4 linked regions of the Sus scrofa genome follow. The main gene of each other region encodes a partner of the protein of the gene in region 4 in a complex. Links are inferred from orthologs where the notes say so. Each region holds a gene or a part of one and is shown on either strand. Other genes may lie near its edges.

The links.
Region 1: the proteins of MAPK8 (region 4) and DUSP16 are in contact, whole or in part, in a crystal structure (PDB 4YR8), measured with the Homo sapiens proteins. The link is inferred for Sus scrofa from reciprocal best matches to the Homo sapiens genes MAPK8 and DUSP16. Residues at the interface, in NP_001310257.1 of Homo sapiens: Arg189, Val196, Ile197, Leu198, Gly199, Asp229, Ile231, Trp234, Gln253, Thr255, Val256, Thr258, Tyr259, Val260, Asn262, Arg263; in NP_085143.1 of Homo sapiens: Phe215, Leu267, Asp268, Tyr271, Lys275, Pro279, Ile281, Ser282, Pro283, Asn284, Phe285, Asn286, Leu288, Gly289, Gln290, Leu292, Asp293.
Region 2: the proteins of MAPK8 (region 4) and ATF2 are in contact, whole or in part, in a crystal structure (PDB 6ZR5), measured with the Homo sapiens proteins. The link is inferred for Sus scrofa from reciprocal best matches to the Homo sapiens genes MAPK8 and ATF2. Residues at the interface, in NP_001310257.1 of Homo sapiens: Asp112, Ala113, Gln117, Val118, Met121, Glu126, Arg127, Tyr130, Leu131, Tyr133, Val159, Lys160, Ser161, Asp162, Cys163, Val323, Trp324, Asp326, Ser328, Glu329; in NP_001243019.1 of Homo sapiens: Phe36, Val44, Lys48, Met51, Thr52, Leu53, Lys54, Phe55, Gly56, Pro57.
Region 3: the proteins of MAPK8 (region 4) and MAPK8IP1 are in contact, whole or in part, in a crystal structure (PDB 3VUM), measured with the Homo sapiens proteins. The link is inferred for Sus scrofa from reciprocal best matches to the Homo sapiens genes MAPK8 and MAPK8IP1. Residues at the interface, in NP_001310257.1 of Homo sapiens: Lys83, Asp112, Ala113, Gln117, Val118, Met121, Leu123, Glu126, Arg127, Tyr130, Tyr133, Val159, Lys160, Ser161, Asp162, His286, Val323, Trp324, Asp326, Glu329; in NP_005447.1 of Homo sapiens: Arg157, Pro158, Lys159, Arg160, Pro161, Thr162, Thr163, Leu164, Asn165, Leu166.

Annotation. Positions count from the first base shown.
Region 1 is NC_010447.5:59,954,494-59,961,391, reverse strand, and holds part of DUSP16 (dual specificity protein phosphatase 16), read right to left. Parts: intron 5,603-6,898; coding exon 5,479-5,602; intron 3,314-5,478; coding exon 2,173-3,313; 3' UTR 1-2,172. UniProt on the Homo sapiens protein: Dual specificity protein phosphatase involved in the inactivation of MAP kinases. Dephosphorylates MAPK10 bound to ARRB2.
Region 2 is NC_010457.5:81,014,780-81,022,460, reverse strand, and holds part of ATF2 (cyclic AMP-dependent transcription factor ATF-2), read left to right. Parts: intron 1-23; coding exon 24-202; intron 203-1,671; coding exon 1,672-1,786; intron 1,787-4,433; coding exon 4,434-4,520; intron 4,521-7,681. UniProt on the Homo sapiens protein: Transcriptional activator which regulates the transcription of various genes, including those involved in anti-apoptosis, cell growth, and DNA damage response.
Region 3 is NC_010444.4:16,568,709-16,576,389, forward strand, and holds part of MAPK8IP1 (C-Jun-amino-terminal kinase-interacting protein 1), read right to left. Parts: intron 5,417-7,681; exon of another isoform or gene 5,113-5,416; coding exon of another isoform or gene 5,042-5,112; intron 3,858-5,041; coding exon 3,752-3,857; intron 1,634-3,751; coding exon 1,319-1,633; intron 1-1,318. UniProt on the Homo sapiens protein: The JNK-interacting protein (JIP) group of scaffold proteins selectively mediates JNK signaling by aggregating specific components of the MAPK cascade to form a functional JNK signaling module. Required for JNK activation in response to excitotoxic stress.
Region 4 is NC_010456.5:89,070,495-89,078,175, forward strand, and holds part of MAPK8 (mitogen-activated protein kinase 8), read left to right. Parts: intron 1-4,784; coding exon 4,785-4,843; intron 4,844-4,928; coding exon 4,929-5,067; intron 5,068-7,681. UniProt on the Homo sapiens protein: Serine/threonine-protein kinase involved in various processes such as cell proliferation, differentiation, migration, transformation and programmed cell death.

The sequences.
Region 1 (6,898 bases), on a different chromosome or scaffold from region 4:
TGGCCAAGAGAAATCCCAAATGTTGAAAGGCCGGTTTTCCCCCAAACATCTCTTTAAAACCAAGTCCCGCCACCGTCCTGAAACATCCACTGGAGCCACTGCTTTCATTGCTGAAAAATGTTCCACGGTTGTGACCAGACTCTGGAAGTACATTCGGTGCGTGTGTACAAAACACATCAAAAACTACTCTGTCAAACCTGGATAATGTCTGATGACATCCAAACTTAAACGCATTTAGAAAAACGAAATCACCGAACAGAACTTTTCCCACATGGTGGTGACGCACTCCCGCCACAGTTGACTCCCCCATTTCATACCCCGTCACTGCCCGTCATAAATTTATGAGTAACCAGTTATGTTCTATGAAGCTTGTAATCGTCACGATCAAGTCAGTTTTGAATCATGTCATTCTATGCTGGTTTTAGCTGTCACCATAGGAAACATGAAGTCACATCCTACTCAAAGGACTGTCCATTTCTCACACGTAGAAAAACCTGAGATATGAGTCAGCAACTAGCTACACTTACAGTAAAGAACAACGCTGACACCCACCCGCCACCCTAAAAAAAAAAAAGCTGCTGACGTGAATTAAGGCTTCAAAACAGGACCAGACTGTAGCTGACAAAACTCAAGCCAGTAAGTTTCAAAGCAGGTAAGTACGGCCACTTGTGTACTGGTTCTAACCACCTCCTATTTTCAGCTGCCAGGATTGATTCCATACAGTGATTGTAGGTCACAGACGGAGACCCCTTGGTCCCGCTCCATTTTGATATGTCCCTTCTACTAAAAAAAAAAAAAAAAAAAAAAAAAAGCTGAGGATAGTTTCTGAGAAGAGCTTGGCTGTGTATTTCCCCTGTGTGTGCCATGCAACAGAATCCACCGTCTTTTCCTCCCCTTCCTGGCTGGTTCCGACCAGGCCTTGCTTCCTCACCCAGGCCTCTCTCAGCCCTAATGGGGACTCTGGAAATCCAAGGAAATCAGAGAAAGACCACCCTCGTCGCGTGCTGACGGGAAAAGCCACTGAGAAAACAGCAGTTTCCTGCTTCTCCTCAGCAGTCTGACCGTCTCTAATCCTTGCACAGTTTTCTCCCTCTTGGTCATTTCCTATAAAATTCTACCTCATCGGTCCATTTTCACAAAACACATCTGTGCAGGGGAACCGAAACAGAAAACTCGTGTGTCTGGTGTGGCTGAGAACTTGAGGGTGCTGCTGCTCTGCTACCCCATAAATTCACATCTGGCTTGAAAGCTAGTTAATCCTTATTGAAAGGATTAACAATCCCAGCTCGAACAATTCTTTGATTTATAAAGAGGGAGGTAGACTTGTTTAGCCTCCCGACCTTAGCTTAGATCACGCCGCCAAGACTCCCGGCTGTCACCTTGAATCCTAGAGAGCATCCCTTTCTTCACAAAGAGAAGAAGGAAGGAAGAATGAGCGACCTCCATCCAGGCCTGGCTGGAAACGTGTGCCCAGACGGTCGGAACTGGTCTGAAAGGTGTGACTAGCTACTCACCATGCCTAGAAACCGGGCCGCTGGACCTGGTAGTGGTGAACGCCCCCACTTTCTGCCTGAGGTACTGGGTTTGCTCTAAAGTTAATCTTAGCAAGGCCCCTGACGGTCGGTCAGCAGAACGATGCTCGCATCGCTTAGCTATCTTAAGGTGAGCTTGGATTTGTGAATCAGCTTGGGAGATGCTCGCTGCTCTCGGCTTTACCATTAGGTTCTGGTCCTAGTAGGGTCTCCCCACCTGACCCACAGGCTGGCTCAGTCTCAGTGCTAAGGTGCACTGCAGAAGGGACTGGACAGGACTAGTGTCTGAGATCGCTCTGTAGCACGACAAGAAAACAATGGGGGCTTCTGTCCCCTCACACCCCAACACAACTCGATTCACTACGATCAGCAGGATGTGCAACCCGCTGCACAGAAGTGTGTCACCTGTCGGGGGAGAGCGAGCACCTGCCCTTCCGCTGGCGTTGAGAGGAATACCAGCTGCGCTCTCAAATGCAGATGTTGGAAAGGACAACGGTGCTGATCCATCTTTTGCTTTTACACCAGAGCTCCACTTTCCAAAAATATATATGTATGTACATATATATATTTCAGATTTACAGGGAATAAGTTTTGTGAACAAGGACAGAACGGTCCAGAGAAGTCGCAGGTGCCTTGCTTCTCAGGAGACCTCGATGATCTCCATGCTGCCCGAGAAGCTCGACTGGCTGCCCACCTTCCCCAGCTCCTCCCGGGACCGCTTGTCTGACAGGATGCTCTCTCCAAACTCCATCTGGCAGCTTCTGCGTTTGAACTGCTTTTCAAAGGGGCTCTCCTCGTGCCAGCTGCGCCGGGAGTCGGCCCTGTCGCCGGGCTTCTGCCGCCTGCGCACGGAGTGGCCTGGGTCACCGCCGGTGGGCAGCTGGCTGCAGCTGTAGGCGGGGTAGCCGGTGGGGCCCCCGTAGACGGCCGAGGTGGAGTAGAAGCGAGAGGGCTCCGCGGCGAAATACCAGCTGCTGCTCAAGGCAGGGGTGGAGGTCGGGGGGGCCAGGATGTCAGAGTGCCAGCCCTTGAGGCCCAGCCCGGCGGCCGATGAGGCGAGGTGCTGCTGGCTGGCCGAGAGGCCGAGGAGGAAGCCGGCGTGGCAGTTGTCCTCCACGCTCCCGCTGCGGTGCAGGGGCGAGAAGAGGGGCCGCACCGGGTGCAGCCGCTTGCTGGGACCGTCGACGGGCCTGGGGGGCTGCGGCTCCTGGGGGAGGCCGGCCTCCTCCTTGTCGGGGCTGGCCTCCGGCGTCTGTTCCGACACCTCCTGCACCGGGGAGAACTGGCACGGCTTGCCCGCCCCGTCCAGCGCAGAGGGCGGCTTGTAGTACTCCAGGACCTCCTCTGTCGAGGGGAAGCCGTGCAGGGATGCGGCCACGCCGGCTGAGTACGACAACGACTTGATGTCCAGGGAGAAGGAGCGCTTGAGCCGCCCGCTGTCCTCTGGCCGGTCCGCGGGCAGGTGGAGCCCGTTGAGCGCCTGGACCAGAGGACTGTCCTCGGACGGTGGGGGCTGGCTGAGGGTGGGGAGCCCAGGCCGAGGCCCGGTCGCCTCTGAGGTAGTGGGGTGGGTGCAGGGCGGCCCGGGGGTGGGCTCGCCTCTCTGCCCACCGTCCGGGGGCACGGGGCCGGGCTCGCTGGGCTTCTCCAGGTGCAGCAGCTTCAGTCTGCTCTTGGACCCCGACGTGCCCGGCTGGGTCTTAATCTTCTTCTCGTAGTCCAGGAGCTGGCCCAGAAAGTTGAAGTTCGGGGATATAGTCGGTCTTTTTTCTTTCACAAATCTGTGACGAGAGGGAAAAAACAAAGACTTGAATTTGACAGCCACCTTTTATCTTTAAGGATGTTACTAGAGTTTGGCGGCGGGGGGTGGGGTGGGGTGGGCAGTTCAAGAGCTGCCCTGGTCGCTGCTGTGGCGTGGGGTCGATCCCTGGAGGGGCAACTTCTGGATCCCATGGGTGCCCCCCCCAAAGTTATTAAGCTATATCAAGTGAATGGATGACGTGGGGATTATTAGATCCTCCCAAGACCTTTGGAAGATGACTGGTTTGAAAGTCCAGGGAAACCATCAAGTAGAAGAGAAGGGCCTCTGCATGGGGGGAGAGCTTTAGAGCGTGTCCCTGGAGATACCAGAAAGAGGGGAGCCAGGCCCCTGAAGTTCTAAGGTTAGCCCCACTATTTTCAAGGACCCAAACTTCCGATGCAACTGGTAAGAGATGATTCTTTCCTCCCTACCTGGGACATCCCCACCCCCACCAACACTCCCATCACAAGGACAGCTGAAGGAGTTCCCTGGTGGCTGAGTGGGTTGAGGAGCCTCCATTGTCACTGCTGTGGCTCAGGTCGCTGCCGTGGCATGGGTTCGATCCCTGGCCCAGGAATTTCTGCATACCATGGGCACAGTGAAACCAAAAAAAAAAAAAAAAAAAAAGTAGAGCTGAACAGCCATGCCCCACCTTCGACTTGCCAGTGTCAAAGTCCCGCATGTCACTTCAAGACAGTTCACATTTTAAGTTAATGACCCAAAGAGAGGGTATCAGGTGGCCAGAGCATCAAAGCACACCCTTCTGAGTTCTTTCTCTATGCATTCAATGTGACAGCCAGCTAGGTACAAAGTGGCCTCTGTCTGCTAAGCATTATGCTAATGAGGGAACTGTAGTGTTTTCTCATTCGACCTTCAAAACTACCCTCTCTGTCTGGTGGGTGTAACTATCCCCATCAGAGAGGTACCCAAATTCCTTAAGTGACTTGCCCAAATCACAGAGCTACTAAAGGATGGGGATGGGATTCAAAACCAGCTCTAATGCCTGGGTTCCTTTCTGTAACCACCACGTTACACAAGAGTCATCAAGGGATCAAAACGTAATAAACAACTTTTTATGCTTCATGGTGGCAACAAAGACCCTGAGAACCAGTAGATTAATTCTTTAGTGGCCCCTGACCCTCGTGGACACTCAGCAGATGTAGGTGTGAAAATATACTGAAAATTTGTATTTGAATAAGGAAGGAAAGAGAAAAATCAAAAATAAGCTTCCTGGAAATCAAAGTAACCTAAAGCAAATGAACAAAGCCAGAAATAACAGGCTCAACTATGACGAATGTAAATACGGGGCCCTCGTGATAAGACCTTGTAACAGGATTAAACGGGTGCCTTTGTGCTGGTCTACAGGGCAGGAGGACCTTGGGGATGGGAGCCGGGGTGGAGGAGGCGGAGTGATGCAGGCACGGAGGACCTCCTTCCTCGAGGGAGAAGCTGTTCAGGTAGCTCGTTTCTTTTGTCCAAATTTTCCAACTTGAGAAAAGTCCATTTGTTACAACAAGCCTCCGTGTGCCTCTATTATTGATGCTTTATCACAGGTGAACTAACCACCCCTATCCAAGGAGACACAGAGGGCTCGGATTCAATGAATCCCTGAGTAAACCCAGCGCCTGGTGCTGCTGTCACTGCCACCTTCTAGTGGGGCGACCCCAGGAAACAGACGCTGTGAAAACCTGGCATGCAGGAAATTCTCCTTCACAAATGGAGTTCGACGACGATTTGGGCTTTTTCCTCACAGTAAAAGAGACTCAAGGTTTAAAGCACAGTAGGAATTCTATCATGAGTATTCTGCAGCATTTTTTTCTCATAGGTAAAAGCAGAACAAATGGTATTTCCCCAACTAGGGAAAGATATAAACTCACCTAACAGGATGGAGAGCTCCAGATTTGTTCCTAAACTTAAAAAGCAGCTGAGGATGAATGTGATACATGTGGAGGGACAATTAGTGCTAAGTTACAAAAATGCATGTTTCTCCAATCTTGGAAACACCTTTTAAAAAATCCCCAGTACCTGTAAAGCCTGTAACTAAAATCATCACAGTCTGCTTTCACGTGGTGACCCAGCCTCACGTCTCCTGGTGTCTCAGGTCCAATGAGAAGCTGGTCGCGCAGGACGCGTGCCTGTCCTCACCTGTAAGCTTCATCCAAGGACATGTCCATCCTCTTCATGATGTAGGCGATGGCGATGGTGGCGGAGCGAGAGATCCCTGCCAAGCAGTGCACCAGCACGCACCCGTTGGAGGCTTTTGCTTTCTCTGTGTGAGTCCAATTCAGAAAGGATGGCTAAGCACAACTTTTCTCAGCAGTGAAATCTTGTTTCCATTTACTCACACAGTGTCTTTCAGCGGGCAACTCAAAGCCCGACTCTGTACGTGGTGTTCCTTTCAATACTCGTTTAAGGAGGGAGGGGGAGATGAGTTTCCCACCATTTCCACAGAGAACTATCAAAGTCCAAATGTAGGAATAAGAAGCCATTTGTCCCTAACTCAGGTTGCCTCTTGTTCAGTACTTCCACTGCATATGTTCTTCCATTATGTATTATTACTTTAATAACTCCCTGAGTATAAACTGTACATTGTGATAACATGATTCTACTTGTTTAATGTAGAAAACCTTAGAAATACAAAATATTGTAAAGAAAGTAACATCCCAAATCCTAAGACTCAGCTAATATTTTGTTTACCCAGATGTCTTTTTTTTTCTTTTTTCTCTTTTTAGGGCCACAATGTGGCATATGAAAGTTCCCAGGCTAGGGGTCAAATTGGAGCTGCAGCTGCCAGTCTACACCACAGCCACAGCAATAGGGATCCCAGCCACCTCTGTGATCTACACCACAGCTCATGGCAAGGTCGGATCCTTAACCCAGTGAGCAAGGCCAGGGATTGAACCCGCATCCTCATGGATACTAGTTGGGTCCTTAACCCATTGAGCCACAACAGGAACTCCTCCCATGTTGTCTTTCTCATTACGTAAGAGATATTAATTTTTTTTCCAGTTTTGAGATATCATTGACATATAACTTTGTATTTTAGGTGCATAAAAATGATTTGACATATATGAGATATTAAATTTCTTTCATTTAAACATGTGACACACATCACTATGTAAAAAGCGTGGGGGCGGGGAGGGAGAGAGACCTAAACACAGTGACACTACCTTACGACACAGCAAAAGCCAAGTCGAGCTACCTTTAAAATGCCAACTCACAAACCTACCTGTCTATCGTTTGCCTATTTTTCTTCGGGAGAACTTTCTGGATGTGAAACGTCAGTACTCTGACGGCCTCAATTCTGAAGAGTCACAGGTGTGCTCACCGGCCCTGCTTCCATGAGCTACATGCTTCCCTTCTTGTCTTGTTTTTGTGGACAGCTACCAAAAGTCTACCCTACTCAGCCTTATGTTAAAAGGTTTGCAATGAAGAGATATCCCGGGAGTCTGTTCTGGCAGCTGAATAATACAAGGTGACGCTGATGTCACCACCTCAGTCACACTTATTACAAATTTCTAACGTGTATGGCTTACTGTTTGTTTTGTACAGAAGACCACAGGGC
Region 2 (7,681 bases), on a different chromosome or scaffold from region 4:
TCCTCTGTCTCACTATTAAATAGGAAGTACCTTTGGCACAAACTGCACAACCCACATCAGCTATTGTTCGTCCAGCATCATTACAGGTTCCCAATGTGCTGCTTACAAGTTCTGACTCAAGCGTAATTATTCAGCAGGCAGTACCTTCACCAACCTCAAGTACTGTCATCACCCAGGCACCATCTTCCAACAGGCCAATTGTGTAAGTGATTTGGGCCAATTATTGAATTATATGAATTAAGTTTTTCTTGTCAAAATTTGTCCTAAGATATTTGTGTGTTGATCATATTTTACATGCTTTGAATTTTAGAAAAAGTACTTGGGTAGTCTTTTTTTTAATAAATATAAGTATTATCTAATAAACTAGAAAACATAATTTTAAAAACAAATCAATATAAAATGTGATTTTTAAGATGATCTCTTATTTTCATGCTGTTTCACACAAAATACATAAAATTACTTTTATCACCAGGTAACATTTCTTTTAGTTCTTAGAGGTAGCTCTCAAGAGTTTTCTGGGTAGGAACTTTCCTCATCTAACATATTGGAGATGATCCTAAGTAAATTCATAACTTTTTCCATTTTTTTCTACACTGTTTATATACATTTTGCATATAAGATATAGTTAAAATAGATTTTACAGTGTGCTTTGTAGTGGTTAGAAAATTTTTGTTTTTAGTTGAGTGGTATGTATATGCCATGTATAATTTTTTGTGGGTATTTTGTTCATTATATGAGAAAGATGGTATCAGGTTTCATCTGTCAAATGGGCATTTTCCTTAGCCTGGAGCTGCAGGGTTTTTTTTTTTCTTGTTCAGTTTTATTGAAATATATGGTAGAACCTTGAACAGCACTTTTTGAACTGCATGGGTCCACTTAAAGGCAGATTTTTTTCAACAAATACATACTACTATACAATTTAATCTGAACTTGGTTGCATCTGCAGATACAGAGGGCCAACTGGAAGTTCCACTCATATTTTTCACCATACATAGGATCAGTGCACCAACCCCTGTGTTGTTCAAGGGTCACCTGCAGTTGACATATAGCAGTATATACATTTAAGGTGTACAGCGTAATAATTTGACTTACATACATTATGGAGTATTCCCAACAGTAAGTTTAGTGAATATATTTCATCTTGTACAGATTCAAAATTAAAAAATATTTTTTTCCTTGTGATGAGAACTCTTAGGATTTACTCTCTTATTTTAACAGCTTTCATATATAATGTACAACAGTGTGAATTACATTGATCATGTTGTACATTACATCCCTGGTACTTATTTATCTTATAACTGGAAGTTTGTACCTTTTGACTACCTTTATTACCATACAAAGATGATATTACATTATTAGTGACTGTGTTCCCTACACTGTGCATCTCATCCCTCTGACTCATTAATTTTGTAACTGGAAGTTTGTACCTCTTAGTTTCTCTCATCCCTCTACCGTCCCTCCCTCTGGCAGCCGCCTGACTGTTCTGTTTCTGTTTTGTTATGTTTGTTCATGTTTTGTTTTTTAGATTCCACATATAAGTGAATTCATATAGTGTTTGTCTTTCTCTAGAAAATTTATTTTTAAGTGATAATAAATAGAAATACTCTTATAGTTTTAGAGATTATTGACATGGATTTGTTTTTTATAATTACCCTTCTGTTATTTTCTTAGTCCTGTACCAGGCCCATTTCCTCTTCTGTTACATCTTCCTAATGGACAAACCATGCCTGTTGCTATTCCTGCATCAATTACAAGTTCTAATGTGCATGTTCCAACTGCAGTCCCAGTAAGTTTGAAATTTAGACTATTTAAATCTTTTCTTTATTACAAACTGATCTTTGTAATCAGAAAATACACCTGGGGCTGCCTGATTAGTTTTATGAAAGGGAATCCAATGAAATACTTATTAGTGGTAAGTATTTACTCACTGATATTTTTTGTGATAGCATTTACCTTTCAAGGCAGACATAATTGGTAGAAAACATTTTTCCATCCTCAAAATGCTAATTGTTTTCCTTATATTTCTGGTATTAAGAACTTTATTCCTTGCTCAACCCATTTGAATTTGCTAGAATGTAGAATTCAAACTAACACAGATTTTTTTTTTATTCTTTATGAAGATATTTATACTGGAACATTTATCAGGTAACTCACAGTATTTTGATTGTTATAGAAGTTGTTTAGAAAAGCACTCTCTGTGAACTTTTATGGTCAAGTTGGGTTTACAAAATTCCTTTGCTGTCCCAAGCGTGTGAAAATCTAAATGGTCTAGTAGAAAGTCCCCCACTTTCCTAATGAGAAGTTCTAAAACAAAAGTTCTGAGGAGCATGTTAGAAAAACAATAGATAATAGTTAAATATCTACTTGTAATATTTAATAATTTAGTGAATATTTAAAAGCATATTCTTTGAATTAACATTAACTTAGAAATAATGCTTTTTTCCTATTCTCACATTTTATGAAACTGTTTTTACTCAGATACTTCACATGTGTCTTTGACATTGAAGTTTTCATTATTAGAACCAATTTTTAAGAAATCCAGCACAATTTTCCAAAACACAATATTTTTATCCTCATCTAATTAATTTCAATTTAACATTTTTTTAATCAGTTATTATTATAACCTGGGAAATCTTAATACCAAGCCCTAATATTCACACATACAATATAAAGACAGTTTCTTCTTTTACCTTGTAGGTAGATATTTCTGATCAGTTCAATATAATCATTTGTTCTATAATTTTGGGGGATTTTTTTGGGGGGAGAAGGGGGGGCCAGTCACCTCCACAGCATGTGGAAGTTCCTGAGCCAGGGATCAAATCCAAGCTGCATCTGCAAACTTCACCACAGCTGCAGATCTTTTTACCCACTACATCAGCCTGGGGACTGAACCAGGGCCTTGTACAGACACAAGCTGGGTCATTAACCTACTGTACCACAGTGGGAACTCCTCGTATAACTGCCTCCTTACAGTAACATCCAACACTTTTGGTGAAATTATATCTTCAAGAATATTACTAAAATTAATGTTAAATATTTCTTTTTTAATTGGTTTTTCTAATTGACTTTTCTAAGTATCTAAGCATTGATTGAAATAATTTCAGGATGTGTTGTCTTCAGACAGAATTGTGCTGTTCAAAATGCATTATTTGAGAGACTTTATAAGGACTCAAACGTAAGGTGACTACTTCCTCTTTTCTCAGGATATTTTTGAGGGGAAAAAGATGACCTGTATCTGGGATTATATGGTTATCTTGTTAAATGTAACTGCAATGAAAGAAACTGAAATGGAAAAGAAATATCCTTTAGGTATACAATAACTAATCATTCATTGTTGAGATTAGTTTTTTTAAAAAAGGCAAAAGACAGTGGAAAAACATGTTCCATATTTTTTTTAGGGCCACTCTCACGGCACATGGAGGTTCCCAGGCTAGGGGTCGAATTGGAGCTGGCCTTCGCCACAGCCACAGCAACGCCAGATCCAAGCCTTGTCTGCGACCTACGCAACAGCTCATGGTAACGCCAGATCCTTAACCCCCTGAGCAGGGCCAGGGATTGAACCTGCATCCTCATGGTGTGTTTCCCCTGAGCCAGGATGGGAACTCCCCATATCATTATTATTATTATTAGAAATAATCAGGTTTTCCTTTGTCATTATGCATTATATTAATATATCAAAGAACTTTCATTTATGTATTTTAGAAATTTTACATATATGTATTTTAGAAAAAAAATTCATTGTTGAAATTATTTTTTATGCCCAATTACTAAAAGTTTTGACATTTTTTCCTTTTTCATTCAAAATGGAAGTGTGACAGATCTGTGAGAAATTTTGAACCAGTCACTTTGAATATTGTGATTTTCTATAAGAAGAAATCATTGAGGAGTTCCCATGTGGCACAGTGGTTAACAAATTCAACTAGGAACCATGAGAGTGCAGGTTCGATCCCTGCCCTTGCTCAGTGGGTTAAGGATCTGGCATTGCTGTGAGCTGTGGTGTAGGTTGCAGATGTGGCTTGGATCCTGTGTTGCTGTGGCTCTGGCGTACGCCAGCGGCTATGGCTCCGATTCGACCCCTAGCCTGGGAACCTCCATATGCTGCAGGAGCGGCCCAAGAAATGGCAAAAAGACCAAAAGAAAAAAGAAGGAATCATTGAAAAAATAATGAAAATTAAAGATTAGGGAAGCAAGTATCTCATAGAAATTAACTTTTGAAGGCTAAAGTAGGATTAAGATCAATAAAGGGTTAATATAGAGATGCAGTTTTCTGATTCTGAGGTCTCCAATAATTATATTTAATGTATATAATATATTGGCATATATTAATATATATTGTTATAATTTGTAAAGTATTATAGTAGCCACTGTGTAAGTAAAGTACAAATCTCTTGAATATATTCTCAAGCAGTTCTTTTTCAATATCTTTTGCATAGCTTGTTCGACCAGTCACCATGGTGCCTAGTGTTCCAGGAATTCCAGGTCCTTCCTCTCCTCAGCCAGTACAGTCAGAAGCAAAAATGGTAAGCAAGATTGTATTTGTTGTGTGCATTTTCCTTGAGCCTGTTTTGAATTAGTTTTTTCCATTAAAGTTCAATTCAAATGCACAATTTAGATCAAGTTTTATAAAACTGTGGACTATATTTATATTATAGAAGAACTAGAAAGTTTGGAAAAGGAAAGCTTTCATTAACATAGTGACAGGTTAGTGGTACTTTTAAAACAAACAGATAGATTGGGAGTAAAGTTCTAGTTCTTGTTGGTTTTTGTTTTTGGTGTGGCTTTTTAGACAAACTCTCCTCCTGCTGGAGGCTTAGGGATATTGCAGCTGAAACTAGATGTATATCATCTGGAGACAGTGCTGATATAATAAGTGTTTTAAACAGTGATACAATTGAGTAGAACAGTACTAACAAAAATTCTGAAATAGTATACAAGTTAATAAACACTGTACATAATATATAAAAGGAAAACCATATTTTTGAGTTGTGTTTCAGACACTAAGAAATTGGTGTTAAGGGATGAACATGATCGTTTTAATCCTAATTCTGCTATTCACTACCCCTAATCAAATTCTCATTTTCCTTTATCTGTTTTTTAAAAGGGGGGTGGAATTACGCTTTAATTTCTAGGGTCTCCTTAGCACAAAATCCTACTAACTTGCTAATTTTCTTGGAAGAAGATTTGAAGCTGCTACTTTGGGGCAAGGGTAGGCAAGCTTGTTTTGTTGTTGTTGTTGTTTTAAATCATATAATTCTTCCTTCTAAAGTCTAATATACTTTAGGGCTAATTCCCTTTAACATCAGTCAATGAATGTATCCTTAGAAAATTGGTAATTAATTACCTATTGGTTTCAGTTCTGTGCTAGGCACTATATTAACAATATAAATCTTTACACATAAAACCTGTTATGTGTTATTGTCAGGCTTTAAATTTTTTACTGCTGTTCTCCATTAGTGCAAATAATCAATCTAAAATGGCCGCTAATAACTTCTATACCATTTGAATGAATAATGTTGAAGAATATAAAAATTAGCTGGTTATGGATTATTGTGAGAGAACTAGAAAACCCAAGAGAGGAATTTTTCACATAACAGCATGTTTAGGTCAAAGCCACGGAAATAGGAAGATGAATCTTTTTCAATTGATAGCAGAAGAGCTTAAGGGAATGTTTTTTACATTTCCTACTTTAAACATTACTGTTCTAATGAAAAGTTCAATTAGAACTGAGTAGAAATAGAAGTTAGTGATCCTGTTGTACACTGCATTTTAAATATTTTTACATATTCAGTGGACACGTCTCCCCACAAATTAATTCAAAAGGAACAAATCAGATTTAAAGAAATATTCTTTGCTACAAGAGCAGGCCATATTTGCAAAAACTGTTAAATTTACTTCCCTGAATAACTTTCTTTTAGGTCACTGGGAAATTAATAAGAATAAAAGTGTTTTGGAGTTCCCGTAGTGGTGCAGTGGTTAACGAATCCGACTAGGAACCATGAGGTTGCGGGTTCGGTCCCTGCCCTTGCTCAGTGGGTTGGGGATCTGGCGTTGCCGTGAGCTGTGGTGTAGGCTCGGATCCCCTGTTGCTGTGGCTTTGGCATAGGCCTGTGGCTACAGCTCTGATTAGACCCCTAGCCTAGGAACCTTCATATGCCGTGGGAGTGGCCCTAGAAAAGGCAAAAAGACAAAATAAATAAATAAATAAATAAATAAAGTGTTTTGTATGCTTGTATATTAAAAAACAACAAAGGTATATTTCAAAAATTTATATATGAAAAACAGTCATTGGTTGAAAGCCCAAAATATAGCATGGAGAGTCACAGGTTGCCCCACCTAAAAATCCAATAGCCCAATTAAATTTATTATTAGAATTTTGTTAATATATAAAATAGCCTTAGTTAGGTGATTGCCTATTTTAATTGGGATAGTAAATAAGATTGCCCTGTTTTAGTTGAATAAAAAGATCAGAAATTAGTCTACTTTGGAAATTAGCCTATTACATTTTTTTAAGCTTCTAATTATGGAAGATTTCAAACATACACAAAGTCAGTGAACCCCCACATCCCCATCACCCAGCTCAATTATTAGCAATATAACTGCCATTCTTGTTTCATCTATACTTCAGACCACTCTCTAACCTTAATAATTTTGTAATAAGCCTTTCTTAATGTAAAATTTACGTAGATTGAAGTGGACTGATGTTAACCCTACAGTTTAAGTGCATTCATATAACTCCCATCCCTGTTATGGTATAAAACATTAACATCTACCCAGAAAGTTTATCTCCCTTCCCAGTCAGTCCACCTCCCTCAATTCTTCTGATATTTGTCACTAGCAGTTGTAATAGAACTTCGTAGAAGTGAAATCAGTATATACTCATGTGTTCAGCCAATATATTTGATTGTTCTATGTATAAGTTTGATTCAAGAATTTTCAGTGCTTGCATTGTCATTATCATCAATATCAATTATATAAGTACAAAACAAATCTACCTACCTTTGGGAATAACCTGGAAATAGTTTTGGTTTTGTAGATCAATTCATGCTCATATCTTGCCTCAGCCTAATTTAACAGTTACTTCTACCAATTGTTATTTATTTAATGAAAACTTCTTGAGTACTCAGAAATTCAGCAAATGTCATCTTAAATTTTAAGATTTTTCTTGCATATGTTTCTGATGATCATCAAGAGTAAAAAAAAGTCTACTGACCTTTTAATAAGGTCACTATTGTTATTATTTTTATTTTTTAAAAGCACCTGAGACACAAAGGCAGGCCTTCAGTTTTGTTGTTGTTGTTGTTGTTGTTGTTTGTCTTTTGTCTTTTTAGGGCCGCACCTGAGGCATATAGAGGTTCCCAGGCTAGGTGTCTAATCGGAGCTGTAGCCTCTGGCCTACGCCACAGCCACAGCAAGATGGGATCCCAGCCACATCTGTGACCTACACCACAGCTCACGTCAACACCAGATTCTTAACCCACTGAGTGAGGCCAGGGATCGAACCTGCAACCTCATGGTTACTAGTTGGGTTCATTAACCACTGAGCTGTGATGGGAACTCCCTAAGGCCTTATTTTTGTTTTTTTCCAACAAGTATGGCAGTTAGGATTATATCACATTGATGAGGTTTTGGTTATTTTTAGTTTTTTGATACACTTGATAGTGATTTTTGTGCATAAAAACCA
Region 3 (7,681 bases), on a different chromosome or scaffold from region 4:
GAAAGCCGGCCAACCCTCAGGGAGATGCCGCTATCAGCCTCAACAAAGGTGGGGATGGCCGGGTGTGCTGGGGAGTCCAGGAGGGAGTGGGGGGAGAGGCAAGAGCCAGATCCCCAGTCTCAGGCATGGGGTGGGGTGGGGGGGGTCACAGGGAAGAGGCTCACTCTCAGCCCAAATCTCCTGAAAGCTATGGCCTAGCAAAGAGGCAGAGACATTCTAGTACAGCCTGAAAAAGGCAGGAGGAAGGGTCTCCCCAGCAGCTGGCCTGGGGGACCAGGATGAATCATCCAAATGACAAATCCAGAACATGGTCGTCACCCCACCACCACCACCACCAGGAGCACATGACTGAGGAGTGACAGATGTAGTTGTCAGAGGCCCTCCCTCCTGGATCTCTGGGACACCACCCCACATTCTCAGTCCCCTGAGACCCCTCCCGCCACGATGCCCACCCACAAGGCTCCCTACGTACAACTTAGGCCCCCTCCTCTGAGAACACCCTCACAGGCTCTCACATTCATGAGTCTGGCTGCCAAAATCCAGCCCAGAGGATCCTGGGAAAGGGACCAATCCTTTCCCTGCAGCCCCTGCACCCTCCACCAACAGCCCCACCTCCTAGAGCTGCTCCTCTGCACCTCTCCAGACTGGGCCTGGAAGACAATGGGCCACAGCCGGCTCTCCCCGCTCTATTCAACCCTCCCTGGCATTCGGCCACCTGGCCCAGGGGCCCTAGGCCCCCAACTCAGCCAAGCAGCTCCACCTCCCATTTCTCGTGCCGGCTTCTGGGAATCCCCAGCTGCCGGCATTTCACACCGGCTGCTGCTCCCCATGCCCTGCTCATCACAGTTTCCCACGACTTTCCCTCGCCACATCACATGCGCCCTTTTCTCCAGATTCAGCTCCCCCCAGCACCTTCACCAGGAAGGAACCCTATAGCCTTGCAAACCCTCAAAGCCCTGTTCTCTGAATCCTCTACTTCCCTCTTCACCCGGATCCTTCCACTGCCCTTCTCAGCCCCTTCATTCCTTCAGTCTCTCGGCTCAAGATTCCAAACCCAGCCAGGCCCACGCGGCCCCTCTTTAGGGCAGATTCGACTTGCCTTCTGCGACCACCTCCCCAGAGACCTCCCCCTCGGAGGCCTTGAAAGGTCTTGGTAGGCTGGAGTCTTCTCCCTGCTCCAGACCAGCAAGTCCCTTTCCCGCAATCCCTCCCGATCCCCAGCCTTGGGCCCTGAGATGCCAGGTGTGCCTAACACCTCTCCAGGCCCTGCCCCAGGGCGCCGCCCCCTCAGCCCCGCCCCCAGCCGCTGGCGCCTCACCTGAGACCTCGGCACCTGCGGGAAGAGGTTGAGTGTGGTGGGTCGCTTAGGCCGGTATGTGTCCCCGCCGCCCGGGCCCTGGCTCTGGCCGCGGGGCGCTGTCTCCTGGCGGGGCTCGGCCTCGGGCGGCCCCGCTCCCGGACGCCGCGCCGCGCGCTCCTCCTCGTCCTCTTCTTCGTCGTCCTCCGCGCCGGGAGTGTCCCCCGTCGCGTCGATCAAGTCCATCTGCAGCATCTCCGCCTGCAGCCGGCTCCCCCCGCCGCCGCTGCCGCCGCCGCCGCCGCCGCCCCCAGACAGCAGCCCGGCGCGTGGGGGCTGCGTGGCGCGAACGGAGGGGCGTCAGGGGGCGGGGCCTGGGCGGGGCCGAGACCGCCGCGCACCGCCCCCCGCGCGGGCGAGTCCATTCCGCGGCGGCAAAGAGGGGGAGAGAGGGAGCCCCGCGAGAGGGAACCGTGCCCTCCTGCCCCCTCGAGGATGGGCAAGGCCGCCTCCTCCCCACGTCAGTCGGTGCCTTTCGCAGTCCATACCTCTCCCCTCTCCACTGTTCCCCGCTTCCCGATTCTTTGCACCCTCCCGTTCCCTTGGCAACGGCCAGTGACCTCATCCTGGTAGTAAGCCGAGCCCAGAGTGAGGTCACCACTGTTGCCATGGGGACGCAGGGTCACCAAGGAGTTCAGCCCCGCAAAGGATGGAGGTGGGGTTAGTATTTTGAGGAGGGCAGTGAGGAAAACGGAGGAACCGATCTTAGCCAGGGGAGGGAGAGCGGGAGGGAAGCAGTGCGGACAGGAGGACAGGAGGACCTGAGCGCGGCTGGAAGAGGGATGCTGAGCAAATGGGAGGCACCTGAAGAGGCAGTGGCATCCCCACCCTCCCCCGTCCTCAGGTTGAGGCCCCTCCAACCTGACATTTTCTCTCAGGCCAGCCTAACTTTGACAGTTAAGAGTCCCGTTTTAGTTCCAGCTCTGCCATGAACTCCCTGACACCTTGGAGAGATCCCCCGACTCTCCAGGTCCCTCACCAGTTAACTGCCTACCAGCTTCCCAGAGAGGTGAGGACTCACTGGCAATACTATGTGAAAGCCCCCTGGAGCTTGTCTAAGGCCCCACAGGGTACTGCCTCAGGGTCCTGCGGGTTGCAAGGACCACCCTCTCCCTCTTCAAGGCTCAGCTTGTGTAAGTCTGGGGAGAGCACAGTGTGGGAGTCCCCAACAGGTGTATGACCTTAGAGAAGCTATGCTGGTCCACAATAAATGGCCTTGGAGTTCCTGTTGTGGCACAGCGGTAAACGAATCCGACTAGTAACGATGAGGTGGCTGGTTTGATCCCTGGCCTCACTCAGTGGGTTAAGGATCCAGCGTTGCTGTGAGCTGTGGCGTAAGTCGCAGACGTGGCTCAGATCCCGCATGTGGCTCTGGCGAAGGCTGACCCCTAGCCTGGGAACCGCCACATGCCACGGGTGCGGCCCTGAAAAGCAAAAAAAAAAAAAAAAAAAAAAAAAGCCTCTCTCTCCATCCCTGCCTGGCCTAGCCAGAGGGTGGTGGGTTGGGGTACAGGGTACTGGAGGGTTAGCCTCACCCTTTGGTTTCCTTTGGCCTGGCAGAGCTTGCAGAATCTCTGGGGGCAAGAAAAGGTCAACACAGGCACCCCACCCAACTCACTGCAGCTCTCCTTTGCTAACCATTCCCCCAACACCGTGTCTACTAGGGCCACCCACCCTCCCAGGAGCTGAGAGAAGCTCTGGGCTCTGCAACCTAGACTTGTGCTTGCCTTCCCTCTCCTGGCTAGCAGCCCCTTCTTCCTGTTCTGGAAAGACAAGGGAGAATCCCCATCCAGCCCAGGATCCCCACCTCCTGTGGGATTCAGAACTCTGGGAGTGGGAGCCATCTGTCCTGTGACAAAGGCATGGGGCCCAAAGCAGCAGCAATGTTGGATTAACCTTCCAGAGGCCTCCTTTGTGGGCCAGAGAGGGTCTGCGAGGCTGTGGGGTGTGCTTGGTGCAGTGGTGGCCAAGGGAGTGCCTTGGCTCTTTTGTCCTGCCCCAAAGCACTGCAGGTTCTGCCAGACTCCACCCTGCTCTGCCTCAGGACTTCTGCCATGGCCGCTCTGGAAAGGAATTAGGGGAGTCCCAAACCTTCCCTTAATTCTGGCCCTAACTGCTACTGTCCTAGACCTCAAGACTTCCTGCTCTCTTCCTTCTGGGCAGTTGAAGGAGCTGCTTCCTGCCTTTGCCCTTGGCAAAATATATAAATAATTTAAAAAATCTGAGCCATCAAGATAGGAGCCAAGCATCACACTGCATGTTTCCTGCATGTTATTTCATTTAATGAGAATGCCACGCAGACGCGGAAAGCCCCTCTAGATATAGAAGCGCTCTCACTCCTGTCCCTACCCATTCTGCCACCCCACTCAGGGGCTCCTGAGAGCCCGCCCTTACCCGTAAGGACAGGGTGTCTTTGCACTGCAGGCTGATGCCACACTCATCAGTGATCTCGGAAAGGTCTTCATCTTCAAACTCCTCCAGGCTGATGTCATGGGTGAGCCTGATGGGGACAGAAAGCCAGAGTTACCACTCAAGGGACTGTTGTCAGCGGACTGAGGCCTTCTGATGTCTCCCTAATAGCTCTTCCAAGGGACAGCCCCTCGAAGGCAGATCGCAGCCCCCAGAGGATGGGACCTGGGCTCCCCCTGCACCAGTGCAAGGGGTACTGAACAGAAAGGGAAAGAGTTTGGGGCTCGAGTCAAAAGGCAGGCCTCCGGGGGGGGGGGGCAGTGGAAAGGGAGGCCCCGGGTTATTCCAGCTCCTCTGGGCTGGGAGATGTCCACCCTGCTGCCAAGCAGGAGGCCCTGCCTAGAAGGCCCAGCTGGTCAGAGCTGAGGCTCTGCCAGAGAAATGGCTTCCAGGGTCAAGGCAGGTGCCAAGGCCAGTTCAGCCACAGAGGGGACAGAGAGAGATGAGAAGAGTCTCCAAAGGATGCCTGGAGTGGGGGTTCCCTGTACAATCTGTGCCGTGACCAAACCTGAGGTACTGGCAGAGGCCCTGCTCCACCTTGGAGCAGCACTCCATGTCCCCAGCCCAGGAAGTCCCATGCCTCATAAGCCCTGGGAGCGAGGCACGGGAATGCAGGGGTCAATGTGGGTGGTTTTAGCTGTTCTAGGAAAGACCGTGCCCCATTCTGTTCTTGGTCCCATCAGCGCACACCCCCAATCCTCCTGCCCCAGCCTCTGGGCCCTGAACAGCGGGGGTCAGGGAAGGTGGAGGTGGCCTGGGCTCAGAGGCAGACCCAAGCGCTTCAGCGCTTCAGCATCGAATCTCTAACTGGGTGTCCTGGGACCCTCTCCCCACCCCCCCACCCCACCCCCACCCACCGGCCCGCCCTAAAAGCCCCCCAGGGCGGGGCTGTCCCAGCCACTGAGCTCCCTGCGGGTCCCCTCACCTCTCCAGCCCCCCAGCCCCAGACACTCTGCAGGCTTCAATGTGGGAGGGACACTGGGAGAATTCTGCTAAGGAAGTTGGGGAGAATTGAGTCTTTTCCTCAATAAGACGAGGCGATTGAGGCACACAGCAAGGGAGACCCCCCGGTCCAAGGTCACTTAGGAAAGGTCACGGGCTCAGCCCCAGGGGAACCTCGGAGGCCCACACCCCGGCCTCTTGCCTCAACCCGACCAACAGAGACCCAGAGCTCAGTGGAGCTCCCCCCTCCCCCACCGGTCCCCGCACCCCTACCAGCGCTCCCACTGATCCTCCAACCAGCTGTCATTGTCTGGGCTCGAATCCATCTTCAGCACCAGCTGCATGGAGAGCCCTGCCCGGCCCGGGGGCTGCAGAGCCCCGGGGCCGCCCTCTCATGCCCAGAAGGGTGGGGGGGCCAGGGCTCGGGGCAGGGCTGGGGCCTCGGGCCTCCACAGCCTGGGCCTGCCTTTCTGCGTCCTGCCCGCTGCAGACGCCCGGGGAGCTCATTAAAAATAGATGGGCTGGGGGAAGAGGCAGCGGTTGCGGACCGGCCTGGCCCCAGCTCTTCCCAGCCAGCCTTCAGCTGCAGGCAGCTTCCTCCCCCGGCCTTTGCGCTGCCGCTGCCGTTGTCGCCTCCCCCGCGGGATCAGGTTACTGCAATCGATGCTACCGGCTCCACCTGCCCTTCCAATGCCCCTGTCGGGGGATGGGGTGGCCCCCCTCCCTGGTCCAGGCTTCTAAGCAGATGGCAGAAATCTGGGATATTTCCCCCCAAAAGCCAGCCCCTGATCTGCTTTAAAGGGCCAGCACCACAATTAGGGTTCACGGTGGCCAGACTGGGGGAGGGGGTTCTGAAATTCTCCAGAAGTGGATGCCCCATCTCCACAGCTACTCGCTCAGCCCCCACACCCCATCAGGGAGGTTTCTGTGGGCCCAGGCGGCGTCCACACAGGGCTGCCTGGGGTGGGTCGGGGCTGCTTCTATTGCCTGCCTGAGTGCAGCCAGAACCCTGCCCCCTTCTTGGGGCTTCAGACTTCAGCACCCACCCAGGAAGTGCCTAGAGGCACAGGCCAGGGCGAGGGGTGTGCGGGCCCTGGAGGGAAGGGAGGGAAGGAGTCTCCTGCCACTGCGGGGCGGGGCGACATAAGCCGGGAGGCCCCTAGAGGGAATGGCAAGGGGCACAGTGGGATTCTGACCAGCGCCAGGGGGCTGGATGGACAAAGTGCTCTTTCAGGCCCCTTCTGACCTGGAGCCCGAGGATGGTGGCTTCCCAGGGCTGGGGGTGGGCATGGTGTGGAATCAGGGGTCTCTGGGGAGGGAGCCCAGCCCGAAGCCAGGGCAGCCCTGCTCTGTCCGGCTGGTGCAGGGTGGCATCTCTGGCCCTGGGAGGAGAACCCAGAGGTGGGCACTAAGCAGATGGTCAATGCACACTGGCCGCCTGGCCAGACCCAGAGAGGGCAGCCCTGCCACTCAGCCAGCACCGGACAGCTGCAGGACCATGGGGATGTCTGACCCAGAGGTGCCCGATCTGTGTCTGCCCATCCTCAGTCAAGCTCCTGCATCTTCTGTCCCTGGCCTTCCCCACCAGCCGGCCTGCACCGCCTGAAACACTGCTCTTCTGTCCTCCACTCAAAACCCTCCAGGATTCCCTGCTAGCGGCCAACTCCTCGGCCTGGCATTCAAGATCTGCAGCTCCGTGTGGGACTGCCTGTCTCTCGCACCCACCTCCCCAGAGTCTAACCCAGCGTCTGGGTGGAGCACGTGGCAGGATCTCAACCTCTGCCTGCTGGTGGAAGGCTCAGATAAGCCTGCTCCTCCAGGAAGCCCTCCTGGTCCCCTGTCATTTCCCTCACTTGTGGTTGGTGTCACCATCTGCATGGAGGCATGGCAGGGTCTGAGAGCAGACAGGACTCAGCCTGCATCAGACACACACCCCCCAGGCAGCTCAGGGGTACATGGAGCCCACACCCCCTGCTCTGCATCCAGCAGATGATGAACCCAGTGCAGTCTGGAGGGCAGAGCTGGGACGGTCATCTCCCATGCACTAGGTGCTCAGGAGATGTCTGTTAAGGACAGCCTCGGTCTCCACTGGCTCCTCTCAAACCAACGTGTTCGGGGAAGACCTGCAGGCTCTGGCTTGGACATGGGCTGGGGCTTCTCAGCTCATCCCCACACGCCCGATCTTAGCATCAGCCGATATTCCCACTTCCTGGGACAGCAGGTCTGGGTCGGGCAGGGGCAGCTGTATCAGCCACTCCAGATGACGGACAGAGGGTACTGAGGGCAACGGCAGAGAGCATGGGCTGGGGCGCAAAAGCCTGCACTTGATCCCTGGCTCCAGTGGAACGGGTTAAGGGAGCTCCTTAATCTTACTTTTTCTCATAACCCAGGCAGGACGGTAGAATGGCCGCCATATCAGGTTTGGAGACAAGAGATCAAATCCTGACTCCCTCACTTACAAGGAGCGGCCGCCCCATCTCCTGAGCGGCAGGCGGGGTGCTCTAGCCTCCAGCCTTCTTTATCCTCGGCATCTCCCTTCATCCTCACTCCAGCTTTGGAAGAGCCATAAGCCCATTTTACAGATGAGGAGCACCAAAGCCCAGCCATAAGCTGTCGGACGCCTGCAGTTTCCCCACATACAACATGAGGCCCCCCGTACCTGGGGGCTGGTGAAGTGTCTGTGAATTGCAGGGTGCTGTGAGGAGGCCTGGCTGATCACGGAGGCCCCTCTGCAACTCATCCCCCTCCCCGGCCCCACCCCCACCCTTTCCTCCTGCTTCTCCAGATGCCAGATGTTCTGGGTCTCTCAGCCCAAGCCCCCGAGAGCCTTCACGGAGGGAAAGCTAAGCAGACCCTTGGTCCCTCTGAGCTCAAGGAGGGCAACTGCAGGGAGAAAGGAGGGATGGATTGAGG
Region 4 (7,681 bases):
CCAGCTGTAGCTCCAATTAGACCCCTAGCTTGGGAACCTCCATATGCCATGGGTGTGGCCCTAAAAAGCAAAATAACAATAATAATAATAAAATTTAAAAAGAGTATAGGATAAAAATTAAAATTCGTCAGTGGTGGGAAAGAAGTTGTGTCAGTCATTCTTACTCTAGATGGGAGCCAGGCATGTTACTTGTCAGGGTTTTGCTGGTGGCCTCCTGCCCTGGAATAGAACACCTTTTACCCCTTGCAGCCTGTTTTGTGGCATTAGTGGTTGTGGCATTGCCTTGGTTTTGCATTGGGGAGATGGCCAGTAACATCTACCTCCAGGGTTTAGATGACTGATTGCCGAGAAAGATGGTTCTCTGGACTAAATGGAAAGTTTGTTTCACATGGTTAATCCTTTGATGGGGTTGGCACAGATTGATCCAGGCAGTGCCCTTAGCACATAGAAGAGTGCTGGCACAGAATAGAAACTGAAAATGTACTTCTTCAGTGAATGAATATCAATCTAAAGGTGAGAAAAAGAATGATGATAATTGAACTTTTCCACTCCCTGATGGATGGATATTTTTATAATGTCCTGCCTTTTCAACAGTTTTATGTTCTATACAAGTCATTTTGTCATTAGTCTAAAAAGTCTAGTTTTCCACTTTTTTAAAAAAAATTGTAAAATACACATAATAAAACTTACTCTCCTAGCTGTTTTTATTACACAATTCAGTGGTACTAAGTACATTCATATCATGCATTTTCCACTCTTTTCGTAGATGGTTTTGAGTTTCCTTTTCAACTTGGTTATTTATCTCTCAGTGCACTTGGCTGTGTCAACTAGTACACACTACTGCATGTATGATAGAATCCTCTGAGAGAAACTGAGACATGTCATCTCTTAACCATGGACATTATGTAATCCTGTTTGGAAATCAGGTCACCATTAGACTATTTGACTCATATTATCTAAGCAAGTTATTTTTTGTCACAGACTTTCCCAGTCTTTACTTTTTTTTCTTTTGGTTTTAGAGAATAAGTATAGTATGTTCTATATCTCCCTATTCAATTTCATATGTAAAATTTGGCTCATCTTACTAGATTGTTGGAGAATGCATTCTTTGATTTTTCACTTGTTGGCTTCACTTACCAGTTTTGCTCAGATGCCTTCATACTAGTTGGATTATTCATTAGTAACCTTTGGGTATACTGCAAAAATTACATGTCTAACAAAAAAAATTACACCTATCTCCCCAATTCTTCAACCTATTCACAAGGATATTATTATTAGTGACATTTTCAAAAATGCCTTTTTGAAATCTTCGTATATTATATCTGGTTGCATTTCTCTGATCTGCTGCTGTTTTTGTTGTTTTTACTCACAGAAGTAAATAAAGTTTCTCAATGAATTTTTACATGTTCCTAGTAATTTTTATTTCTTTTGAAGTAGTCATATACCACCACTTAATCAGGCCTTGACTTTTGTTTGTCCAGTCTGTGATCGATGTGATTTTCTTTATTTCTATTTTTGAAAAGCAGGACACCTGTCCATTTTAATCTTTTTCATAACAGCTTTATTGAGATACAGTTCACATAGACCATACAACGAACTCATTTAATGTGTAGAATTCAGTGGCTTTTAGTATATCCACTGATAATGTGTGACTGTTGCCACAGTCAGTTCTAGAACAGTTTTATCACCTCAGAAAGAAACCCCATTCTTTTAGCCTTCATTTCCCCATCTCCCATCCTCCTCAGCTCTAAGAAACCACTAATCTCCTATCTCTATGTGCCTTTCATCTTTAGCACATCTCTTCTCTTCTGGGATTTCCCAGATATTAACTAGAAGAGTTTTACTGTTTCTCCAAGTCTGTCCAATATATGATTCTTCTATTTAGGAGATAAGAATTCATTTAGAGCCACTAGATACTTATTATCATTTCCTCTGTCTTAAACAAATTTGTTTTACTCTCTGATTTTTTTTTTTTTTTGGTCTTTTGTCTTTTTTAGGACTGCACCCACGGCATATGGAGGTTCCTAGGCTAGGGGTCCAATTGGAGCTGTAGCCGCTGGCCTACGCCACAGCCACAGCAACGCCAGATCCGAGCTGTGTCTGCGACCCACATCACAGCTCACGGCAACACTGGATCCTTAATCCACTGAGTGAGGCCAGGAATTGAACCCACAACCTCATGATTCCTAGTTGGATTCGTTTCTGCTGTGCCATAACAGGAACTCCTACTCTCTGATCTGAAAATTATTTTTCTGAATTTATTCACTGAACAAATAAATATTTGAATGGCTTCTATAAGCAAAGCTTTATGCTTAAATGAGTAACATAGATTCTGCCCTTATAAAGTTTATATTGAGAAAAACATTCCCATTCCTAAATATAAAAGATAGGCATTTCAAAAATATATGTCAAGTATTTTCCTATATGCCACAATTATAAAGGGAAATAGGATGTTGTGGAAGTAAGACTATACTACAGGGTGTTAAATGTCATTATAACATAAGATATTGTGGAGACAAGTAGAATACTCAGCTCTGTCAAGGACTAAGGGTTGTCAAGCCCTACAAAAGTGGCCTGTTTTGAAGGTTTAGTAGTTAGAGGTTAGTAGGTTAATGACAAATATAGAGAATAGTATGTTTAAATGCCTTGACAGTTTTTTAAAAGAACAACATTCTTTAAACTAATTTAGTATGGCTAAATTAAACTAATTTAGTATGGCTTAGCAGGAGATGAAGTGGGTCGATGTCCTGTCATGGCAGGCTTTGAATGTACTGCCAGAGACTTTCGGAATTTTTTTGTTGGCATTACGTTTTTGAGAAAGTAAGTAATGTGATCAGGTCTTTTGATTACCATATAGTAGAGGCAGTAAAATAGTGGCTGGACTTGCAGAAAACCATTAGGGAACCAAGTGTTAGAAGTTATTATGGCATGAGCAGTGTTAGAATCCTCAGTGTGTGTAGTAGCACAGGGAGTGGAAGGAAGACGTTGAAGTTTAGACTGACGATAAAATGGATAGCATTCTTTTAAATACTTATTATGGTGCAAATATTGAAAAAAAAAGTAAAAAGTCATTTTTATCTTTCTATTGTAAAAGAAGACACTCTGGAAAAGCAAGGGGTTTGGGTAGGAACAATAATGAATTCAATTTTATATTGTTTTATGAAGCGTCATGTGAATAGCAATGAAAATTTGAGAATCGTAAGCTAAGCAGGGACTTTTAATGCATATTTGGGAATTATCCATAGAGATGTTTGGATAAGAACATATACATAATACCACCCAGGAAAAAGGTACAGATAAAGGAGAAAGATTAAGACAGAATAGTGGTAGAGAGGACATGCCTATGGATGTACTAATGGACTAGTAGTAAAGTTGGGAAAGTGTAATATTAAGAAAAACCAAGGGGCAAAAGGACTGCAATTATATAGAGGTATGGAGTTGGGTAAGAGCTGACAGAAGATGTTTAAGATTTGCTTACAAATTATGTAGAGGATTATATAATGTAGGTCCTTGGTAATTGAGTGTTCATTAATGGAATGGATCTTGAGATACTCTGTTGATATAATCTTTAAGGGTTATTTTTTTAGATTCACAACAAAATTGAAAGGAAGGTACAGAGATACCCCATATACCCCCCTACTCCCACACATGCATAGCTTCCCAGATTATTAACATTTCCTAGCAGAATGGTATATTTGTTATAATTAGTGGACCTACATTGACATATCTTTATTACTGGAAGTCTATAGTTTACATTAGGGTTCCCTCTTGTGATGTACATTTTATACGTTTGGACAGATGTATAATGACATAATGTATGCCATTATAGTATCATTCAGAGTATTTTCACTGCCTTACAGAGCCTCTTTGCTCTGCTTCCCTACTGTTTGCCCCCATACACTGGCCATAAAGTTTGTCTTTGGGTTTTTTGTTTTGTTTTGCTTTTCAGAGCCGCATTTTCAGGATATGGAAGTACCCAGGCTAGGGCAGTTCACATCAGATTTGCAGTTGCCAGCCACAGCCACAGCCACAGCAACACAGGCCTTGAGCCTTGTCTGTGACCTACACCATGGCTTTTGGCAGTGCTGGATCCTTAACCCACTGAGTGAGGCCAGGGATCAAACCCATGTCCTCATGGATACTAGTCAGGTTCGTAATTCGCTGAGCTACAGTGGGAACTCCTGATAAAGTTTTAATGTATAAAATAAGAGAGATTACTTGAGCTTAGAACAGAAGTCTGGAAAAAATTTTACACTGAGAGGTGTTTTGTTTGTTTGTTTTTTTGGCTGCACTCATGGCACCTGGAGGTTCCCAGGCCAGGGATTGAACCCACACCACAGCAGTGACAACACCACATCCTTAACCCACTGAGCCACCAGAGAACTCTTTGAGAGTGGCTTAAAAAAAAGAAAAAAAAAATCCACGGAGTTTCCATTTTGGTGCAGCAGAAACAAATCCGACTAGGAACCATGAGGTTGCCGGTTTGATCCCTGACCTCGCCCAGTGGGTTACGGATCTGGCATTGCCATGAACTGTGGTGTAGGTCGAAGATTCAGCTCAGATCCTATGTTGCTATGGCTGTGGCATAGGCTGGCAGCTGTAGCTCCAATTGGACCCTTAGCCTGGGAACCTTATTATGCTGCAGTCGCAACTCTAAAAAGCAAAAAATAAATAAATAAATAAACAATAAAAATAAATAAATAAATCCATTTATTTGCAGTTCCCAAATGAAAATATTGAGTAATGTAATTTCTAATTTTCCCATTTCTCTGCTTTTACTGCAGATAATTGGCCTTTTGAATGTTTTCACACCACAGAAATCCCTAGAAGAATTTCAAGATGTGTGAGTATGATAATTAAAATTTTTAGTATATTACTCTTCAATTATTACTGTATACTTTAGCTGTCATCTTTTTTCACCCATGAAGTTACATAGTTATGGAGCTCATGGATGCAAATCTTTGTCAAGTGATTCAGATGGAACTAGATCATGAAAGAATGTCTTACCTTCTCTATCAGATGCTTTGTGGAATCAAGCACCTTCACTCTGCTGGAATTATTCATCGGGTTAGTAGAAAAAAACAATCATATTCTCTTTTTAATCATTGAGGTGAAATTCATGTAATGTAAAATTAACCATCTTAAAGTGTACAATTCAGTGATATTTAGTGCATTCACAATAGTGTACAACTACTACCAGTATCAAATTTCAAAATAATTTCATTGCATTTCCCCAAACGAAAACTGCCTACCCATTAAGCAGTCACTCCCATTCCCCTTTTACTCCAATCCCTGTCATCTACCATTCTGCTTTCTGTGTCAATGAATTTACCTTTTCTGGATATTTCATATAAGTGGAATCATATAACACCTGACCTCTTTGACCTCTTATGTTTGGTTTCTTTAACTTAGCATGGTATTTTCAAGTCCGTCCACGTTGAGGCATGTATCAGTAGTTCATTCCTTTTTATGACTGTCTAATATTCTTTTGTATGTATTTACCACATTTTATTTATCTGTTCATCCATTCGTGGACATCGAGTTATTTCTACCTTTTAGCTTTTGTGTGGATAGTACTGTTATGAACACTAAGGTACATGTATTTGTTTGAGTTTTTGTTTTCAGTTCTTTGAGATATCTACCTAGGAGTTGAATTGCAGGTCATGTTTAACTTTCTGAGGAACCACCAAATTGGTTTTCCACAGTGGCTACCCCATTTTACATTCCCAGAAACAGTGCATCAAAGTTCCAATCTTTGCTAATAATGACTTTTTCATTCTAGCCATCCTAGTATGAAGTTGTGTCTCATTGTGGTTTTTGATTTGCATTCCTCTAATGACATTAAGCATCTTTTCATGTTTGTTGGCTGTTTGGATATATTTCTGTTTGTTTTTTAGGGCTGAACCTACAGCCTATGGAAGTTCCCAGGCTAGGGGGCGAATTGGAGCTGCAGCTGCTGGCCTACACCACAGCCACAGCAACACAGGATCCTAGCTGCCTCTGTGACCTACACCTCAGCTCACGGCAATACAAGGTCTTTAACCCACTGAGTGAGGTCAGGGATCAAACACACATCCTTATAGATACTACTCAGGTTACCACTGAGCCGCAGTGGAAACTCCTTGAATATCTTCTTGGGAGAAATGTCAAGCCTTTTGCTCATTTTTTAGTTGGGTTGTTTGTCTATTTGTTGTTGAGTTGTTAGAGTTCTTTATATATTTTGAATACTAGATCCTTATCAGATAAGTAATTTGTAAATGTTTGTATGTTGTCCTTTCACTTTCTTTTTTTCTAGGGCTACACCTGTGGCATGTGAAAGTTCTTGGGGCTAGGGATTGAACTGGAACTGCAGCTGCCAGCCACAGTCACAGCCACAGCCACACCAGTGCCGGATCCAAGCCACTTCTGTGACCTATGCCAGCAGCTCGTGGCAATGCCAGATCTTTTTTTTTTTTTTTAATTAATTAATTAATTTATTTATTTATTTGTCTTTTTTTTTTTTTTTTTTTTTTTTTTGCCATTTCTTGGGCTGCTCCTGCGGCATATGGACGTCCCCAGGCTAGGAGTCCAATCGGAGCTGTAGCCACCGGCCTATGCCAGAGCCACAGCAACACGGGATCCGAGCCGCGTCTGCAACCTACACCACAGCTCACGGCAACGCCAGATCGTTAACCCACTGAGCAAGGGCAGGGATTGAACCCGCAACCTCATGGTTCCTAGTCGGATTCGTTAACCACTGCACCACGACGGGAACTCCCAATGCCAGATCTTTAACCCTCATCCTCACAGACACTATGTTGGGTTCTTAACCTGCTGAGCCACAAGGGGAAACACTTCTTTTCACTTTCTTGATCTCTTTTGACACATATTTTTTAATTTTCATGAAGTTAGTTTATTTTTTCTTTGGTTGCTTGTACTTTTAGTGTCAAATGTATGTAAGAATCCATTGTCAAATCTGACGTCATTAAGATTTACCCTTAGTTTTTCATCTAAGAGTTTTATAGTTTCAGCTCTTACATTTAGGTCTTTGACCCATCTTGAGTTAATTTTTGTATATTGTGTGAAATAAGGTACCAACTTCATTCATCTGCTTATGGAAATCCCATTGTCCCAAGCACCGTTTATTAAAGAGACTATTGTTTTCTCCTTGAATGGTCTTGGCACCCTTGTTGAAATTCAGCTGGCCATGGACATGTGGTTTTATTTCTGGATTCTTAGTTCTCTGTTTCATTGGTCTTTGTGCCTGTGCTTATGTCAGTACCACATTATTTTAATCACTGTAACTTTGTAGTAAATTTTGAAATGGGAAAGTGTGAATCCACCAACTTTATTCTTTCTCAATCATTTTGACTACTTAGGGCCCCTTGTGATTCCATATGAATTTGAGTATCAGCTTTTCCATTTCTGCAGAAAAGGCCATCGAAATTTTAATAAGAATTTCATTAACTCTGTAGATTGGGTAGTTTTGCCATCTTAACTATATTTGTATTCTAATTGATGAACAAAGGAGGTCTTTCCATTTATTTAGGTTGTATTAGTCTATTTGGGGTGCTATAACAAAATACCACAGACTGGGTGGCTTAAATAATAAAATTTTTTTTCTCACAGTTTTGGAGGTTAGAAGTCCAGGACCAAGGCACCAGTAAATTCAGTTTCTGGTGAGAATAACTCCCTTCCTGAC